5 linked regions of the Oryzias latipes genome follow. The protein of the gene in region 2 purifies or fractionates together with the protein of the main gene of each other region. This does not show direct contact. Links are inferred from orthologs where the notes say so. Each region holds a gene or a part of one and is shown on either strand. Other genes may lie near its edges. The genes, in order: sf3b3, smc1a, pds5b, usp13 and cdca5.

Region 1 (3,650 bases), on a different chromosome or scaffold from region 2:
CGTTGTTGTGTTGGTTAGGAAAAAATGTACCTGCAAATGTTAAATGCAGCTTTTCTGAGCTTTTAATGAAGTACTCGTGGCTCATAACATTAAAGTTGTGAAGTACAATGAAGTTCAGTTGTAAAAACTTTGCTGCTTTGTATTTCAGCAGTTTATGGGGTTGTTTCAACAAACATTAGACATGTAAAAATGGCTTTTCTTAACCTTTTGTGGAATCATGATGCAGTCAGCTCCTCTTTACTCCTTTTGTCTTTTTCTTCTCTGCGTTTCTGAAAGACATGGGCTGTGTCAGAATTCCCGCCCTAATCCCCACCCCAACTACTAAAAACGATGTAGTGCGAGACTATGTAGTGCAATTCAGACACCATTCTCACTACTTTACTATATTTGCCGATTTAGTGAGCATCGATGTACACAGGTTTTTTGCAGAGACTTCTGGAAAATTTCTAGATTTCTAGATTTTGGAATTATAGATTCAGACAGCAATACAAAATGAACGCACTATATAGTGCACTATGTAGTGAGTAGTGAACGAATTCAGACACAACCATAGACTCAGATGTTTAGTTTCCTTATATTTAAAATATATTTATTTAAAATACAAGCAGCATTTTTACTGCAAAACAAAAATTGATTAAAAAACTAAAAAAATTCACTTTTTTACATATGTAAAAAAAAAAAGCCTCCTTGGTGCACATTTTTTTGTTCCTACGGATGTGGTCACATGACCAACGGCTTGTATTTATTTCCTTTATATTATCAACAATAAATATAAATGTTGATTCTCTGTGACAGCTCTACATGCTCTCATGTATCTTTCCCTTTGTTTCAGTGTGGCAGTGTGCCGCTTCTTAAACACAGGAGACGACTGGTATGTTCTAGTGGGAGTTGCCAGAGACATGATACTCAACCCCAGGTCCGTGTCTGGAGGTTTCATCTACACCTACCGACTCACAGGTGGAGGAGAGAAGCTGGAGTTTGTGCACAAGGTGAGGTTGAGTTTCTCTGCTCTGCTGAGTTGAAAGTTTCCCCGTGTGTTGAGACCACAGCTGAGCATCCCATGTTCACCGCTCTGTTGGCGTCACACTTTTAAAACTCGACAGCTTTGTAACAACACCATGGCAGGATGTTTCTGCCCCAGTTTCTGGGGCGATTCCCAAGAAACAGGAGCAGGGTGGAGACGAGCCAAGTGAATCAGCTTTCAGCTGTTTGTTACCTGATGTAGAAGAAGAGGCAGTCTGTTTCCCAGCGGTCTCGGACACTCCACACTGACTCAGAGGGATTTCCCCACCACTTAACCACACGTGATGTTTTTAGGTGATTCTGTCTGGGCACAACACTAACGTCTTAAGCACGCGCTCACATTCAGCTTCAGACACTTTTAATATGAAACAAAAGTCTTCCTCATCCGCTCGTTTTGTATTTTGGGATATCTAAAAAAATGTTGACATAATTTGTCTCAAATATTTGTTTTTTTAAGTATCTTAGACTTTTATGGACAGTATGCTTTTATGACATGTTGTGCAGCAGTTTTAGTCAAGTCTGAGTGATGTTTGTGATGCATGAACCGCAACGGCAGCTAAAGAAAAACTGTCATCGTGGGTAAACTCTTCATCCTGTCTGCCTTGTCTACATACAGTCCTTTCCTGATTAACTTTGGGATTAGCTTTACATGATTAACACGACCCACAAAGACAACCAAACATCTATCTGTAAAGCTGCTCCTTTCTCTATGTTCATTGTATTTATAAAAAAGCCTAGATCCATTTATTTTGTGTGTTGAATTTGTTTTATTTATTTTTTTAGTTTGTTGCTCTGAAGAGAAATTTGAGATATTTCCAAGTTTGTTTCTTTTTTTTAAGATGAGCTATTTGTAATCAATAACTGTAACTGGCACGGTCACTCATGGAGTTGTTTAGAATTGATCACATAAATCAAAACTGCAGGAATGTCCATAATCACAAATCAAACCCAGCAGATGAGTAAATCAGCGTTCTTTCAATGAATTTGTGTAACCCTCAAAAGAAAAGGAGGTAGTTTTTATAGAAAGTAAAATGTATCTCATAAATGAAGCACTTTCCTTTTTTAGCTTCTGTCTTGAACACAAATGCCAAAATTCTAATTCTTTTTGAAAAGCGACAAAATTCAAGCTTTTTCCTGCAAATTTTAGTTGAACACAGGACGATGATTCGCATCATAATGTGTTTGATAAGGACACACATTTTCTGCCTCTTTTGAAATTTTCAAACATGCCAGATCAAACTTTACAACCATGTTGTGATGGTCTGAAACAGGCCTTCTCAATAAATCACAAATTCATCGTTATCGCAATATCAAGCTGTGCAATGCGCATTTTACTAAAGACGACAGAAATTGCAATAAACGGTAACCTTAAATTTGCTAAAACAATCTTATGGCAGCTTGAAGTATTTAACGAATCAAATAAATCCCTTCATGCATTTGACCAATCAGATGCCTTCACGTTGTTGACCAATCAGGTGGAGCTCTTTGATGTAAGATATAATTAAAGTTATGTTGACTTTTATTTAAATTAAACTTGCTGTGAAATGAAAATGATTTTCAATTTGTTCATGTATCTCAAGTTATGTCATTGCAATACTGAACACTAGTGTCTCAAATCCAGAGTTTTCCTTAAATCGTGAAGCCCTAGTCTGAAATCTAAATTGTGTATCGTTTGCTGATTTGTGTCTCGCCATGGGTCAGTTGTGTTAACAGCTGCTGCTTCACAAAAAATTACTCAATTTTCAACCGTCTAGTTATATAAAACTAGACAGTTTCCTGGGTTGTCTTCACCCTGAATGCCATTTTCTGTTTGTTGTACCACAGCTGAAGAACTGTATCTTCTCTGCATTGTTCATAACAGACTCCAGTAGAGGACGTTCCTCTGGCCATCGCTCCGTTCCAAGGACGGGTTCTAATCGGAGTTGGAAAACTTCTTAGAATTTATGACCTGGGGAAGAAGAAACTTCTTCGTAAATGTGAGAACAAGGTAAGAGCAGGTCTTGAGTCATTTGATTGAAGAGTTTATCACTGAGACCCCTTTGTAGACCCACTCCAGTCATCTTTATATTTTCAAAGCATTCCCAGTGCTCTTTTAATTATGATGATGTCGTTTTAAGGCAAAAATACCTGTTTTTTTCTGGGACATAGTTTCTGCAGAACAGCAGGAGTTCATTAGAAACTAGCAACTGAGTTGTGGGCAAGGGTTATTGGCGCGGAGCAACCCCGCCCCCTTTCCCCTCCCTGCTGCTGAGAGCATGAAGCAGGGAGCTTGTTGCCTGCCTTGTATATTTTTTACAACATAAATCAGCTCTTTTTCAAACTGCATTTTCTTTTAACTGTTCCTGATTCACAACAATTTGAATAACAAAACACTCAAATAAAAAACTAAGCTTGTCTTTCTTTAAATATGTCCATCTGAGCATAAATACTCAGAGCAGCACAGGTTGATTTAGGTTTGATTTGGAATGATTTCAGGCTTTGTTAGCAGCTGCAGTTTTACGGTTTCTATTTAAAGGTATCAGATCTGTGTGATTGTCTTATAGTATTGGTTTAGTTCTATTTTTAATGGTACTGACGGTAATACCGTTGTTTCTTAACAAAAGGGTATGTCTTCCCATTTTCTAAAA
Region 2 (4,407 bases):
TCTTGTACATTTTCTGTGCGTTCTGGAGCGATTTTCGCGCCGCCTCGAGCTTCTTGATCTTGTGAGCAGTGTTCTCCTTGGCCTTGATGTACTGAGGCCGCTTCTGGTTCAGCTCAGAATCCTTCTCTCTGCGAGCGAAATGATATGATTAGCATTTCATTAAGAATTTAACCCCAGATAATTGATGTAGAAACACCAGGAGCTAACTGACTTGATTTCTTTCTCGATGGTCTGCTGCTCCCTCATCATTCTGCCCAGCTCCTTTTTCTTGTCTTTCAACTCTTCCTCCACATGGTCCATCTTCTTCCGGTCCTTGTCAATCTCCTTGTTCCGCTGGCCCAACTCTTTGTTGAGCTTTTCAATCTCAGTTTCATTGTGGTAGAGCTTGAAGAGCTGGAGCTGAACACTGGCCCTGGCAACTTCATCCTTAAGACGCTGGTAACGCTCAGCCTTAAAGAGAGATCAAAAGACACAAACTACATGATCACAACAAAACTTTCATGAGTTTTGTCCATCATCACTGCGTCCATCTTTTATAGGTCACTTTAGTTTAAAATGTCTTCTGTAAATAGAATCCACATATTAAAAATGATTACATGAAATAATATACGCTGTTTGGATTTATTTGGTTTACACCATATCTTATAATTAACAAACTATGCTGCCATAAAAGCAATTTAGCTTTTTTGTTTTAGTGAGTATTTCACAAATTAAAGTTCCAGATTGGAGTTCAACTTTCTCCATAGAACAGTAATAACAGGTACAAACCAAAGGCATGACATGTGTTATAATCTTACACAGTTTTCCGGGCAAACAAAATAAAAATGCTTTTCAATTCCTTTAAAAAAAAGGTTTTCAAGAAAAATGTGTACACATTATTTTATCGTCACAGAGACATACCTCCTCCTTCTCTTGCTTGGCTTCTTTGCGTTCTGCGGCGATGTTTTTTTTCCGATGATAATTGAACTGTGTGTCTTCTTCTGCCTTCACCATTTCTTTCTTCCTTCGATCATACTCCTGGGCCAGCTCTCCTGAGCGGGAGATTTCCTCAAACAGGGCTGTGCGCTCTTTGGGGTTCTTCATGGCAATAGACTCTACCGCTCCCTTTTAGTAAAAAGAAGAAATAAATTAAATGCCAAACCAATTTAATCCAAAATTGTTTTAAGAGAAGAAAAATAAAATTCACAGGATTCACATCAGTGGATGTGTTTAAAAAAAAAATACCGTAATGGAGCAGACAACCGTCAGTACAAACACTGTCTCATCAGTCAACAGTCATAGAAAGGGCATGCTATGCATTTGGTCTCACCTGGAAAACCAGGAAGTTCCGGGCCTTGATCAAAATGCCAAGTTTTTCCAGCTCTTCGCTATAATCTGGCAGACCCACAACTTTGCTGTTGATCCGATACTCAGAAGAAGAACCTGCAACAAAACCCCAAATGTAGTCACGTAAAAAAGAAATTCTAAATTCAAATAAATCTTTTTTTTTTTATTCCTTGTTGAATCATAATAAAATATTTCAAAGAAAGGCAATATGATTGTTTAGAATCAGATTTTTCCGTCAAAAACCAGTAGATGAACACATGCGAAGTTAAATAAAAAATAAAAACTTTTTCTGTGTCAAGTGACAAGTAAATGTATTTTTGCAAAAATTCTAATATCCCAGTTATGCTCAGCTAAAAGCAGACAGACAAAGACAAAAGGGCTGATATTACACAACAGCAAAACAGTATTGAACTTATTATTTGTGATTTACTTGCAAAGATAATGTTTTGCTTATTAAAATCCCCACACAAATGTGAATAGGTGAGCATTTGAAAGAATTAATGTGTTAATAATACTATTCTTTTCTTCTTCTTTTTTTTTTTTTTACCTATGATAACTCTCGTGAAGGTGCGTTCCTCGCCATTATCTTCTTGGTAAACCATGCTGACAAAGGCTCTGTTTGCAGCTGGTTTTCCTACAGGCGCTCCATGGATTAGATCCTTCAGAGTCTTCACACGCAGATTACTGGTTTTTTCTGCCAACACAAAGCTGATGGCATCCATAAGGTTGGATTTTCCTTTGGGAAAAGCATACAGACAATCTAGTTAGAGAAGTTGTAATAAAATGTAGTTTTACAGAAATACACAACTTTTAGAAATACAGATAATCAATTTTCTCTTGTGTTTTCACATAAACTAGGGTATCAAAAGACGTGTACTTTGAGTAAAATATAAAGAGAAACAGATACGCAACAGTATTTTTGATGGTATGACATTAATTTGTAATGTATGTTGTAATTTAGTAATTCATTTACTCTCGTGGTTAAAAAATATCAATTCAAAAAAATCAAAATATTGCAAATAAGAAAACTCTACAGAATCAGTTGTGGGAAATTGGTAATTATTTTATAATAACCCAAATCTTGTGGGCTTTAAGATAGGACCAATAAGTGCAAATGAAAGTGTAGGAATGGTCTGAACATGCACTCTCTTCGCAAAAGCTGCTTGGTAACACAAAATAAAATTTAGGGTTAGATCACCGTCATAATAACAGCAATATATATTTTTTCTCCGTTAGCAGCAGCGACTTGAACTGTTGGGCATAACTTACCCGATCCATTGGGTCCGATTATGGCAGTAAATTTATGAAACGGTCCAATAATCTGCCTTCCTTTATATGATTTAAAATTTTCGATCTCAATGAGTTTTAAATAACCCATTTTTCTTTATTTGTGCAGCAGACTGGGAAAACAGCTGCACGGTCAATGTTAGCTTAGCGAAGAAAAAATGCTAGTAAGCTAATGCTACAGACTCATGCGTTCGCAAATGAAAAAGTAGTTGCTTTAGGTCGATGGCTAGCAGTAGAAATTTACATTATGAGAAGTACGTTTACGTAAACAAAATCATATAGATAAAATCTTTATCAAATAAACTCGGTGCATTAGTGAAAACAAAGCGCCATTTTACAATCTCGCAGGAAGATACTAAATCGCGCGAAATGCCTAATCTCGTGCGTTCTCGCGACGCATCGACATAACTGGGATTTGTAGTCATATACATATACGCCTTGTACCTTGTAAATTTTAACATTTTTTTTCACAATTAAATACATAAATTTTGGTTAAGAAATGATTTTAAATATTTTTCGTTTTCACGATTTTTAACATCAGCAGTAATTATTTTTTGTCCATTTCTCTTGGAGAAAAAAAACTACAAGACGTTTCCTTGGTTACCAATGCTCCCCCTCCAAACACTGCTTGTTGGATTTGAACACTGAGATTAGCTGTTGTTGCGCGGCCTATTTATGAGGTGAGTATTGTCTTGTTTTTAGTTTTTTTTCGTTTTTCCCAGAGCAATATAACACTGAAAATTACTACTGTTAATATTTTCAAATAGTTTATGAGGTATTGTTTTGTATTTTTTCTTTTCCCAAGAGCAACCTTACTCTGAAAACAACTACTGTTAGTATTTAGATAGTTTTCTTTCATCATTTTATGTATATCTAACAAACTACTCTCTCGGAATTATAAACAGCATGACCTTTCATCATTTAATTAAATAGTGGAAAGCACCATTCTGTTTTTTCTTTCATAAACCAATATATGTAATTCCTTCTCACCAGGATTTGAGACAGTTTAGAAACCAAACATGTTCAAAGGTGACGCCCGACAAGACCAGTCTCTGACAAAAGCTGTGGAAGGCCGAAGATCTGCTGAGGCAGCCCGCAAAGCTCGCATCTTCAACACTCGACTACGTGTGATGGGCCTTGACTTAGATGCTCTGAACCAACAAGTTAAAGAGAAACTGCAACAAGAAAACTTGGAAAAACTACAGAGCAATGCTCTCGGTAAAGAAACGTGATTACACTATTAAGAAATTAGGAACTTTATCTAGTAAAGCAATAATCTTTTTGTTCTATGTCGTAATACCATCTAATTTCAACTCTTGATAAACAAATGCAATTAATGTACTTTGTTACAATTCGTCTAAAAATCAATGAATATGCAATAGGATGGACCTGCTATGACCATGTGATTTACTTGCTTGTATTTCAAATGATGGGAAGACAGCTTCTGTCTCTAAAATAGCGGATGTCAGCAGAATGATCTCTTTTCCTTTCTACAAATGTTTTTTTTTTTTTTTTTTTTTTTTTTTTTGCATTGTAGAAACACTGAAAAAAAGTCAGGATGAAGCACTACTACAACAAGACAACAATGAAAAAGAAAAACGACGAGCTTTGCAAAAGGACCTTACTCATTACTGGGCCACTCAGCAGCGATTAGACACACAAAATGCTGGTTTACAGAATGGCCTGAAGGGGGCGTTTGACATCACCACTCCGGAGGCCAAACTGGGACCTGCCAGTATGCAGAGATTCCAGGTAGGTTTACTGAGTGAGGTGGAATGGTTGTTTGCTTAGAAA
Region 3 (3,650 bases), on a different chromosome or scaffold from region 2:
ATCATTAAAAGCCACAAACTCTACTTTCAAATGAAAAAAGGGATAATTTGTTGGCGATTCCTGAGGTAAATACATGTGAAGTGAAATACCTTATCACTGTCTGCTCTCTTCAGGCAGATGTCTTCATTTTCACTGTGGTCCATTTCTGTGCTGTCGTGCCTGAAACAAAAGCATTTATCAGCTGTTATTCTACATCCAGCAATGGAGAAAAGCAGCAACTCTTTTAAGGCTAATAGAGGATTTGTCACAAACTTTTTATCAAACTGTTGTTTACTACAAATTCAAACAAAGTCTGGATTAGTGTTGGCTGCTACAAGCTCTGGGCTCCGTCAGATGAGGCTGTATATGAGAACTGGACTGAAAGCCCCCCCCCCCCAAAAAAAGGGGAAGTACCAGCTGGCTCCTCCAAGAAACCAAAATCCCAAAGATTTCTAATGAGAAATAAACAGCTATTACTCAGTCATTCTATACCACGGTCCAGGTGAATACTCCATTCTGTTTGGCTGCAAAACTGCGATGCAGCAGTAGAAAAGAGAGATAAGATTCTAAAAGAAGGGATTAACTTTTAATTCATCTTCTGGACAAAAACAAGCCGTAAGCGGTGACCTTTCTCTCTGACCTGATGCTTTTAACGCATCATGAGGATCATCGTTTTCCTTTGCCGCTGCAGTCGAACCACCTATCAGATAGTTAGCTTTTTGTGAAAAAACTATTTAAACCTAAAAAAATAACCATCTTAAAGTATTAAATTCTGATTGAATACACACTTTTTTCGTAGATGACCATGGTTTAAGCGGGATAATGCTCCTTGAGGTTTCCATTATCAGAAATGAACGGATGACGCGGTCCATGCTTCCGTGTCGTCTGTCATTTTCAGTATCCCTAAGATAAACTGACCAATCAGGTGCCTCAATAAAAGTATGTGGTCTCATGTCAAACGCTCAAAACAATTGATTGACCGCCCCCTTAAAACCAGCTCACTCCTGATTGGCAAGAGTGGTTGCCATAGAAACGTTGATTCAAACTCTGACCAATCACTTTTTAGTGACAACGTCGAAAAACCATTTTCTATGGGTCGTGTCAGACTCACTCACTCGGTCAGTCCAGTTGTCATTTACAGTCGGAGGGTTTCTCCCATCATACCTGCTCTTGGTGCGCTGTGGGGAGCCCGGATTGGACGAGGAGTCGTTGTTGCTGGTGGTCTCCATACGGGAGCCTTTACTCTGCAGCTGTTTACCCGCCGATGACAGCGGTTTGTTTACCGCCCCCAAAACGTTAGCAGACTTGGGCTAAAGCGACAAACAGACAGCAATTTGAAAAGGTTTTTAGCTTCACGGGTGATAAACCGCCGACATTTTTAGGGGTTTATGACATTTACTTTTCCTGGTGTGAAGAACGCCTTCATCTCTGGGGGAAGGTAGTTTTTAGTGTTGCTGAAATTCTGGGGGGAAAACAGAATTTGTTGTTGGAGCTTTCCAAAAAAGTTGTTATATTGTCTTATTTTTTTTTACAAATGAACTGAATCCATAAAAAGCAGTTCACTCGTATCAACTACAATAGAGATGAGTTCAAAACCTCTGAACTTACTCTACCCATAAAACTACATTTCTGAGCAGAGTTTGCTGCAAAACTCTTGGGTCGTAGATCCTAACCTTGTCTGGTTTGGTGAAGAAGCGTGAAGGCAGCACCGGGTCTTTAGGCGACTCCAGGCTGTAGGTGGTGCTTTTTGACATGATGATGTTCATGGCTACGTCACACACCGTGTACAGTTTCTGGAAATAAGAAAACATCTGATCAGCAAAGAATTATATACGGGATCAATACATATTCAGTGAAGTTGGATTCACATAAATATCACGTACCTCATTGCTTTTGGGATCAGTGGCAGCCTGGGCGTCTTTTGTCTGTTTCATATTTTCCACCATTTTTCTGATGAAAGCGTGGCTGTTGTTCTCGTTCTTGGCCATGATGATCTCCAGCACAAACCATAAAGCTCTGAGGAGACACACCAGAGTCGAGTCAGCGCAAAAAGCGGAGACAGAGAAATCTAAAAATACTTTGCTCTGGCTCAACCTCCTAAACACAAACCAAAAAGGAAAACAAATATTCATAAAAATTCAATCCCTGTAAAAAAAAAAACATTCCAAAAATGATAATAGAAACTAATAAAAAAAAACAGCAGCTTAATAAACCGGATTTTCTAGTCTTCACCCAAGCAGAGAAATGGTATGAAGTGTTGAATGCGCTGATATTCAACGTATTACAGAAGCGAAGCGCTTAAACAATGAACACATCAGCTGACTGTTGTGGAGAGAAGTAGCTCTGCATATCGATGCAAAGTCGATATGAAAAGCTGCTCTTCTCTTCATCAGAATAAGCTGATTTACGTTGATCGCCTAAACGCTTGAAGAGTTACAGCTCGTCAAAGAGCGTGTGATATTTAGGTGTCACCGGCAACAGTTCTGGCGTTTAAAGGGTCAACTCGTGTCTGCCGCCAATTTCAGTATTTCACATAGAATGTCCAAACAGGAAAATTATAAAAATTAATACGATGACATTTATTTTAAAGTTGTAATATTTGCCTAGGACTTCCACAAATTCTTAAGAAACATTCAGCTCTTTTTATAGATTACATTTAGTCCAGGGGTGTCAAACCCATTTTCACTGAGGGCCACATCAGCATAGTGGCTGTCCTCAAAGGGCCAGCAATAAATTATTCATGTAACTAAATGTTATTGAAAATAAATGTAACTACTCCTGAATGTTAAATAACTCATTATTTATTTACTATAACTTTTTAAAGTGACAATTGCAGTTGCATAGAAAACACATGTTTGCTTGTTACTCTATCATAAGTCCTTAAGTCCTAACGTATAGTAGACCAATCCGATATTTCAAGTCTGATTCCCCGAAGATATGAATAAATACACACCAATTTTTATTTTTTTCTTCTAAGAAATTAAAAACGTTTATGTCTCTCGCCACATTTGGCCCGCGGGCCTTTAGTTTGACACGTGATTCAGTCTATAACAGTCTCAGTAACATATTTATGAATCAGTGGAGTTCTGGCAGTTAATTGCATGGTAATTAATGGCAATAATATGATGAATCCAGCACTGATTGCCGTGTGACATGATCAAACTTATTTCTGTTTCTAAAATCCACCCATAGAAACATACTCTTTGATTTCCTTCAGCTGCTCGATGTCCTGAACTTTCACGTAGTCTGGATCGTGTGCCAGTAGGTGTACGGTGTACGGCACCACGTACTCCGGCAGCAGAGACAGCAGCTTGTCTGTTGGTAAACACAAAGAAAGGAAAACAAATTTCACTCTTAAAGGTCCAGTGTTGTTCCGGGGAAAGCTTCGCCGGGTTTCCTGCAGTTCCTCACCGCTGATGGCGGCGTGCTGCTTGAGGTACTCTCGCCGTATGTTGACGTTTTTCACCAGGCACTGGCGGGCGTGAGCCCTTCTCTCCTTAACGGGGTCCTTGGCACACAAAGCGAACACGGCCATGTACTCCAGCGGCAGGCGGAGGCGACACAGACCACGGTGAAGCTTCTGGGCAAAACACTGTCGGACCTGGTAGCACTCATCCTGGGAAGATCAATTAAAAACAAAGAAAGTGTGAAAAGAGGAAATCTGTAGGAAG
Region 4 (3,650 bases), on a different chromosome or scaffold from region 2:
TGCTGGAGGACAGATCCTCATGGGAGGACAAACCCCTGCATGGGATGTACCACCGGACCATAACTGAAGTGGCTGATATCAAGAAGTCCTACCAATGGCTAGAGAGGGCTGGCCTACAGGACAGCACTGAGGCACTCATCCTGGCAGCTCAGGAACAAGCCCTGAGAACCAGAGCAATAGAGGCTCAGATCTACCATACCAGACAAGACCCAAGGTGTAGGCTGTGCAAAGAGGCGCCTGAAACAATCCAGCACATAACTGCAGGGTGTAAGATGCTGGCAGGTAAAGCATACATGGAGCGCCACAATCAAGTGGCTGGAATAATATACAGGAACATGTGTGCAGAATATGGACTGGAAACCCCAAGGTCAAAATGGGAAACACCCCCGAAGGTGGTAGAGAATGAAAGGGCAAAAATCTTGTGGGACTTCCAGATCCAGACTGATAGGATGGTAATGGCGAACCAACCAGACATTGTAGTGGTGGATAAAGAACAGAGGAAAGCCGTTGTGGTGGATGTGGCAGTACCAAGCGATGGGAACATCAGGAAGAAGGAACATGAGAAACTGGAGAAATACCAGGGACTCACAGAAGAACTGGAGAAAGCCTGGAAAATGAAGGTGACAGTGGTGCCTGTGGTAATTGGAGCACTCGGGGCAGTAACCCCCAAGCTGGAGGAGTGGCTACAACAGATACCTGGAAAGATCTCAGACATCTCAATCCAGAAAAGCGCAGTGCTAGGAACAGCTAAGATACTGCGCAGAACCCTCAAGTTCCCAGGCCTCTGGTAGAGGACCCGAGCTTGAGTGAGAAACCACCCACGAAAGGGTGAAAGGGGCAAGTTTTTTTTTTTTTTTATATAACTACAGTCTAGTAGTGACCTCTGCTGGGTGTTTTCAGTACTACACACACTTCAAAGAGCCTTCAAAGAACCACACAAAATGTATATATATATATATATATATATATATATATATATATATATATATATATATATATATATATATATATATATATATATATATATATATATATTAGCTTTTAAGTGTTTAATAATTGCCTTTACTCACAAAACACAAAGCCAAAGCTGTATCCATTCATGTATTTCTGAGCATTCCTCTAGCCCCTTCCAGAAAGAGTCTGTGCTGCCAGTGCCAGTGTGCCAACACACACGACCACTTTCTCTGTGGAGCTAGCGGTGATCGGCTAAACGCTATCATTTTCTGTGCACATTATGCACATCCATCTCTGCAAAAGTTCAAATGTTTGTTTTTCGTGGGCGAAAAGGCCGTCTCCAGGTTGCCTCCCTGAAATTAGCAGCACCCACAAGGAGCGAAAGGCGGTGCCTCAGAGATCGAGTCATCTCACTTCCAAGTAGGAGAAATGAGCTGCAAAAATAACTCATATTTCAGAAAAAAAAATCTTTCTTTCGTGGGCCAAAGGTAATATATGATCATAAATATGGATCTAGTTTCCTCTGTAAGGCTTAAGAAAAGCATGATATAGGCCCTTTAAGAGAATTGGTGGATAGTGAAATGCAGACATCATCACTCCAATCATCTTTGCATGAAAACATTAGTTACCGAGCTTCTTCGGCACCCAGTCAACTCCAAATGTGAATTTCTTGATCTGCACAATCAGATATTCCGGAAAAGAGGCAAAACGGGACGTTCTACAAAAACAGAAAAAAAAAAGAGTTTTTACCTCAACAAAGACATGATTATTAAAAAGAAAAAGAAAAAAAAAAAGCATATGCTTACTTGACTCCAGCTGATTTGGCCTGCAGCGCTGAGCTCCAAAAGTCCGGGACATTTTCTGGTTCTGTGAAGGCCTGTAAGCAGGCGGTGAAAGGAATCCGTGCCCGAACTGGTTCAGGAGGAGTCCCCATGTTCTCCTCAGCTTCTTTCCGCTTGGCCTCGTAGGCCAGCAGCTCCTCTGGTTTAAAAAAGGAAACGGTTAAATTTGAAACCTCCTCAAAAACTGGCATGTTGATAATTATTTATTTTTTTAAATCAGCTGAGGCTTTATACTACAGCAGCGCAAAGTGATTATGCTCGCTTCTTCAGCTTTATTTGTTGTCAACCCAAGAAAATAATGAGCAAGGCTGACAGCTCTGGTTCACACCACAATTAATTATCAACACATGACTAAACCATCTGCAACACTTGCATTCAGAGCGATTCTACCAATACTGCAGCAGGTGCCATTCATTCTCATAGCAATTGTTTTATCCACAGCAGGCGTGTTATCAGAGCAGATGCACTGCTGTGGAGATATGTTTCCTCCTTCACCTCGATTGGTCGCTGCCTCGATGGGAGCCGGCAGCTGGATGCAGTAGTCGACTCGCTGGCTGTAACGAACGCGGCGAGTCTGACAGCACTGAATCCGCTCCTCCACCAGGAAACGGAAGCTGTCGCTGGGATTCTCCAAGCCTGTGCTATTCCTCTGCAGAAACAACACAGAATGCAGGCTCTTCATCCAGTATGGTGAGGAGTAAAATACTTACAGTCCAATGAAAGCCCTGTTTTGTGGCATTTTGTAATGATAGAGGACACAGAAAATTAATAAATTTTTTACACGTGTTTTTCTATTTGTGATTCTGGTTGGGGTTACTTTTTTTGCATTATTTCAAAATAGAATACATTTTTCAGATAAGCTCTTTTATCAAATTTCACACAACAAAATGAGGTTGACTTTCTGTGGATCCATGCATGAGCCTCCCTCCCTCCTCTCCCTCCCTCACCTCCACCAGGTTGATGATGTGCAGGAGGAACTCGTGGGCGTCTTGTTGCCGGTTGGAGGAAAACTCCGGGTGTCCTTTGCTCACCAGAGCTTTGAACATTCGAGGAGAGATGCCCCTCTGCTGCTGCTGGAATCAGAATTTAGACATCAGCCTCACAAGAAAACCACCAGTCAACGCTAGACACTGTGAACACAAACTGTTCTTCGAGTTTCTAAAAAAAAAACCTAATCCAAATAAAAATTATTAACATATTTCTGGCTCTAATTACACAGTGTGTCTTGTGTAAACACAGAGGCTGTAAATAGAAAAAAAATATCTATTTTTATTAAACTAAGTTACTCGATTTGTATTTACTAAAAAATATATTTATAAAAATAATACTTTTCTCATTTTGGTTGACCCCAATAGAAGTCATGGTTAAAAAATAAATAAAAATAAAAAATATATATTTATTTGCACTTTTATACATTTTAAAAGACTCTTCATTCATTCATAAATCTTTTAAAGCAATAGTTCCTTTTCGGGGTCACAATGCTGCTGGAGCCTATCCCGGCCACTTGTGGGCGAAGGCTGGGGAGATCCTATGCAGGCCCCCAGACCGTGGCAGGCCCAAGAGCTTGTTTTTGGCCATTATGGGGATTGAACCCAGAACTTTGGCGTTCTTAAGCACCACGCTGTAAACCAGCTGAGCTTACTGGCCTCTAAAAGATCTTAAAAGACTTTAAGATCTTAAATGTAGTTTTTTGAAACCCTTTTTTAGAAAAACTTTGCATTTCCCACTGCACTGATCCCTGTTTTGTGCAGAACATCTTTACATAATAACTGAAATCTACCAGCTGTTTGTTTATAGACAAATAAAAAAACTGTTTGTGTCCTCCCAGAAATGTACATAAAGTACTAAATACAC
Region 5 (3,566 bases), on a different chromosome or scaffold from region 2:
CAGGAAAGGGTCACTTAGGCAGGATTACACAAATTATGTTTTAGATTAGATGTGAATAGATGAATTCCTCACAAGCTGCAACAGAAGACACAAACACTTGCAATCTTGACACACTTTTAACCACCACCAATCAATGTAGTTTTCCTATTTTATATATATATATATATATATATATATATATATATATATATATATATATATATATAGTAGCTATATGTGTTTTTCTGACAAAATTGTATCCTGTTGTTCTGTTAGATCTCATAATAAAACCCCTACATGTTTCTTTTTGTTAATTTTTACAATCATTTTTGGAATTACATGCTTTCAAATTGATTTTTTTTTTTTTTTAATTTTAGTAAGAACACATCTTTTTGTGAGTGTTAGAGATGCTATTGGGTAAGACATCCGTCCATGGGGCCCTAATACGTTTCCCTAACAAAGTTAATTCAAGCAACACCCCTGAAAACGAGTACAAAATTCAAAATGTTTCTCTAGTGTTCAGTTTCAGGAAATGTTTATCTTTAAATGCTAAAAGTGTATTTTGCTCTCATGCATGGTTACCCTGCTCCGTAGGTAGTCTGCCAAGTTCTTCCGTGTGAAGTTTGCTGCTGCAGATGGACTCAGTTCGTAACCTTTAGGGGAGAAAAAGTTTCATCAATGACTTGTTCTGATCCCCTGATGAACCACAGACAGCTGCTCTGTGTAGTTTCCATCCTACCGTTCCTCATTTTGTAGAGCTGGACATTCTTCTGGATGTACTCAGCAAACTGCACCGTGTCTCCTGCTTCTCCCACGCACAACAGCAGGATCTTCTCGCTCAGTTTGAACATTTTATCATAATCTGGTGGATCAAAAAAAAAAACACCTTAGAACTTTCACTTTCACAGTTAGCCTGCATGAGGCTGCATAATCTGCTAATTTTAGAACAAAACCAATTATACAGAAAAACACCAAAAACTCAAATCGGGAGCAAAACTGCACCGATTTTTAAGCAAATATCCGCAAAAATAATTTAAATCGAACGCAGATTAGTTTCATTGGTTCGATTATTTGATATAGTGTGGCCAAGTATAAGAAACCAACAACAAATTAACTGTAAATTCGGAAATAAAAGCTTGATTTAACCAGATAAAATCTCAAAACGCTTTGAACTTTACCCCCCTAAATCTAAAATAAAAATCGGCGGAGCGGCTAATGCTACAGCTAACGACGAGCTACTTTACCGTGTTTCATTTGGATTATGCTGCTGGCGGCCACATTATCGGCGGCGACGAGAACAAAATCTGGTCCCTGGATTCCGATTAAATATTCCATCGTGAAAAACGCGAATAAACAAAAAAATGTAAGAATAATTCGAGGAAGCAGCCGCGGACAGCCGGGTCTGCTCAGAATATTACACAGCAAAAGTTCAGCTAGCTGCCTGTCGCATACTGGTGACGTCAAACCGCGCGACTTGGGCGGGCGATTTGAAACGCGGGAGTGTTTTTGTTGTGTGTCACCGAGCGGAGGGCGTCCGTCATCGGGGGAATTTTGAGGTTACAGCCAAGCTGTGTTGACCATGAAGGAAGGGGAGACTCACAGCGTGATGGTGGAGTCCAACCGACACATAGACCCGCCGCGGAGGCGTTCGCCGCGGCTAAGTTCTACCCTGCAACCGCCGGGGAAGATTGACACAAACATGGCCGCGCTGGAGGCCGTCCCGGTGAAACGGTCCATCACTCTAAGGAAAATAGCTCCGAGAAAAACCGTTACCTCCGCGGAGCAGGACAAGGAGAACACACCACGGCGAACGAGCAACAGACTAGGGCAGAAAAAAGAGGTGTCCACTCCTGACTTGGTCCCAGACCGCAGGGCCTCCGCCATCTCTTCGGCTAAGAAGAAGAAACAGGCCTCGATGCCGTCCCCGATCTTGCCTTCCTCCCCGCCGACCTCAAACCCCGCAGAAAAGCCGCCAGCGACCCCGGAGGACGCAGAATGGGCGCGAAAGGTGCGCCGCTCCTACAGCAGACTGAGCGACAAGTCCCTCCACAGCCCGGACTCTCGCGATACTTTGTTCGGCTTCCAGCATCTGCAGACACCGGAGGTGAACCGGGCGGCAGGGCAGTCCAGGAGCGCTCTGGAGCTTTCCTCCATTTCTGCCCTGAACTCTTTCACGTCTCTGCTCGATACCGACGCCGGCGGTGCGGCCGAACCGGACCCGAACATCCCTGGAGTGGCTGTGGTGAAGGAGAGGAAGAGGAGGCGGAAGAAGGTGGCGCCGATCGACGGCGTGGAGCTGGACGTTCTGGTCGCCCAGATGAACGCGGAGTTCCAGGAGGCGGAGGAGTTTGAGCTGGTGGTGGAGTAGAAACTGGCTCTACTCAAGCCCAGGGGAAGCTTCTCAAGGACTGTGATAAAAATAATTCAAGAAAATGTTAAAAATGTCCAGATATTTTTATTCCTTCACTTGGTGTGAAATAGTTTTTAAATACATTTTCAGTATCACATTTGCTAGTCGTTTGTAACTTCAGTTTTTTTGGTTTATTTAAACCGGACTTTATCCTTTGGCAGAATTTAAGTGCTAAAACCGTTTACTGAGGAGCATTTCCCCAAGAATTACGTTTGGAGCTAAAAGGCTTTTATTCTGAAATGAAGCTTGAAAGCTTTTATGCAAAAGTCTGGAGATAAAAAGCTTTGAGTCGTAAAATTGGTGCTGAACAGCTCTTACTTTGAAGTTTGAAGATAAAAAGCTTTTATTCTGACGATTGGACTTTAGAAACATTTATCCTAAAGGTTTTGACTGGAGACGCTTTTATTCTGCAGTTTGGATTCTCTTTTTTTTTTAACTTTCCCAAATGTTTTTAGAGAAAAATAAAGTACATGGCATCTGTAACCAGCACTTTTTCCTCTTTAATTTTGTTTTTTCTTTCTAGTTTAAGAGAAATCCATTTAAGGTTGTTTATATCTTATATGTGTCTTTTAAATACATTTCTTCTGTTCTGTGTATTTGAATAAAAGCAAACATCTTTTTTTAAACATACACTTTATTTTGTTTACCCTTATTTGTACAGTTAAAGAGTTTTAAATTATATTAAACAACAATTTTTTAGAACTTTGCAGTGAAATATCAACTAGCTGCAGAAGGAGATGACACAGGAAATATGAACAAATAAACTATAACATAGCTAAAGAATTCAACTGAAAAGCCTTGAATGGCCTTTCATCAGATCCTGTCTCAAACTGTTTTTGTGAAGCTCTGAAATTGATCAGTACTGTAAATATCCTACTCTATGTTTAATTTAACCTTATGGCAATCAGAGCGAGCATGAAAACCCGTTTTCTAACTGTACATATGACAAAAAAAAAACTTTGAATCCTTTCAATTAAAAAAACTGAGGGTGAAAGGTCAAAAGCAACTGTAACCCTATAACCAATCAAAATCGTTTTTTTGCATAATATCCAACTAAATTATACAGTTTTGCTTATAGCAGCAAAAGTCTAGAATCAGGACTTTTATTTCAAGCGAAAAAATAAAACCAAATGCATCAAATGAATTTAGATGTACAGTCACAAAATGATCAGATGAT

What was found.
Region 1: the proteins of smc1a (region 2) and sf3b3 fractionate together in Homo sapiens (co-fractionation; 3 studies listed by BioGRID, with this or other methods). This does not show direct contact. The link is inferred for Oryzias latipes from reciprocal best matches to the Homo sapiens genes SMC1A and SF3B3.
Region 3: the proteins of smc1a (region 2) and pds5b purify together in Homo sapiens (affinity purification with western blotting; 8 studies listed by BioGRID and IntAct, with this or other methods). This does not show direct contact. The link is inferred for Oryzias latipes from reciprocal best matches to the Homo sapiens genes SMC1A and PDS5B.
Region 4: the proteins of smc1a (region 2) and usp13 purify together in Homo sapiens (affinity purification with mass spectrometry; 5 studies listed by BioGRID and IntAct, with this or other methods). This does not show direct contact. The link is inferred for Oryzias latipes from reciprocal best matches to the Homo sapiens genes SMC1A and USP13.
Region 5: the proteins of smc1a (region 2) and cdca5 purify together in Homo sapiens (affinity purification with mass spectrometry; 7 studies listed by BioGRID and IntAct, counting the BioPlex papers as one, with this or other methods). This does not show direct contact. The link is inferred for Oryzias latipes from reciprocal best matches to the Homo sapiens genes SMC1A and CDCA5.

What each region holds. Positions count from the first base shown.
Region 1 is NC_019864.2:25,117,581-25,121,230, forward strand, and holds part of sf3b3 (splicing factor 3B subunit 3), read left to right. Parts: intron 1-832; coding exon 833-989; intron 990-2,884; coding exon 2,885-3,010; intron 3,011-3,650. UniProt on the Homo sapiens protein: Component of the 17S U2 SnRNP complex of the spliceosome, a large ribonucleoprotein complex that removes introns from transcribed pre-mRNAs.
Region 2 is NC_019865.2:11,923,316-11,927,722, reverse strand, and holds the start of smc1a (structural maintenance of chromosomes protein 1A), read right to left. Parts: upstream 2,951-4,407; 5' UTR 2,705-2,950; coding exon 2,596-2,704; intron 2,063-2,595; coding exon 1,874-2,062; intron 1,423-1,873; coding exon 1,310-1,422; intron 1,105-1,309; coding exon 901-1,104; intron 451-900; coding exon 212-450; intron 129-211; coding exon 1-128. Other genes in the region: ribc1 (RIB43A-like with coiled-coils protein 1), read left to right, coding at 3,633-3,831, 4,151-4,365. UniProt on the Homo sapiens protein: Involved in chromosome cohesion during cell cycle and in DNA repair. Central component of cohesin complex. The cohesin complex is required for the cohesion of sister chromatids after DNA replication.
Region 3 is NC_019872.2:9,942,190-9,945,839, reverse strand, and holds part of pds5b (sister chromatid cohesion protein PDS5 homolog B), read right to left. Parts: intron 3,596-3,650; coding exon 3,391-3,595; intron 3,295-3,390; coding exon 3,180-3,294; intron 1,996-3,179; coding exon 1,863-1,995; intron 1,773-1,862; coding exon 1,653-1,772; intron 1,442-1,652; coding exon 1,379-1,441; intron 1,290-1,378; coding exon 1,144-1,289; intron 160-1,143; coding exon 90-159; intron 1-89. UniProt on the Homo sapiens protein: Regulator of sister chromatid cohesion in mitosis which may stabilize cohesin complex association with chromatin. May couple sister chromatid cohesion during mitosis to DNA replication.
Region 4 is NC_019862.2:9,008,520-9,012,169, forward strand, and holds part of usp13 (ubiquitin carboxyl-terminal hydrolase 13), read right to left. Parts: intron 2,870-3,650; coding exon 2,744-2,869; intron 2,446-2,743; coding exon 2,292-2,445; intron 1,936-2,291; coding exon 1,761-1,935; intron 1,673-1,760; coding exon 1,584-1,672; intron 1-1,583. UniProt on the Homo sapiens protein: Deubiquitinase that mediates deubiquitination of target proteins such as BECN1, MITF, SKP2 and USP10 and is involved in various processes such as autophagy, endoplasmic reticulum-associated degradation (ERAD), cell cycle progression or DNA damage response.
Region 5 is NC_019869.2:20,009,439-20,013,004, forward strand, and holds cdca5 (sororin), read left to right. Parts: upstream 1-1,439; 5' UTR 1,440-1,558; coding exon 1,559-2,347; 3' UTR 2,348-3,019; downstream 3,020-3,566. Other genes in the region: psmb2 (proteasome subunit beta type-2), read right to left, coding at 562-632, 719-841, 1,224-1,314. UniProt on the Homo sapiens protein: Regulator of sister chromatid cohesion in mitosis stabilizing cohesin complex association with chromatin. May antagonize the action of WAPL which stimulates cohesin dissociation from chromatin.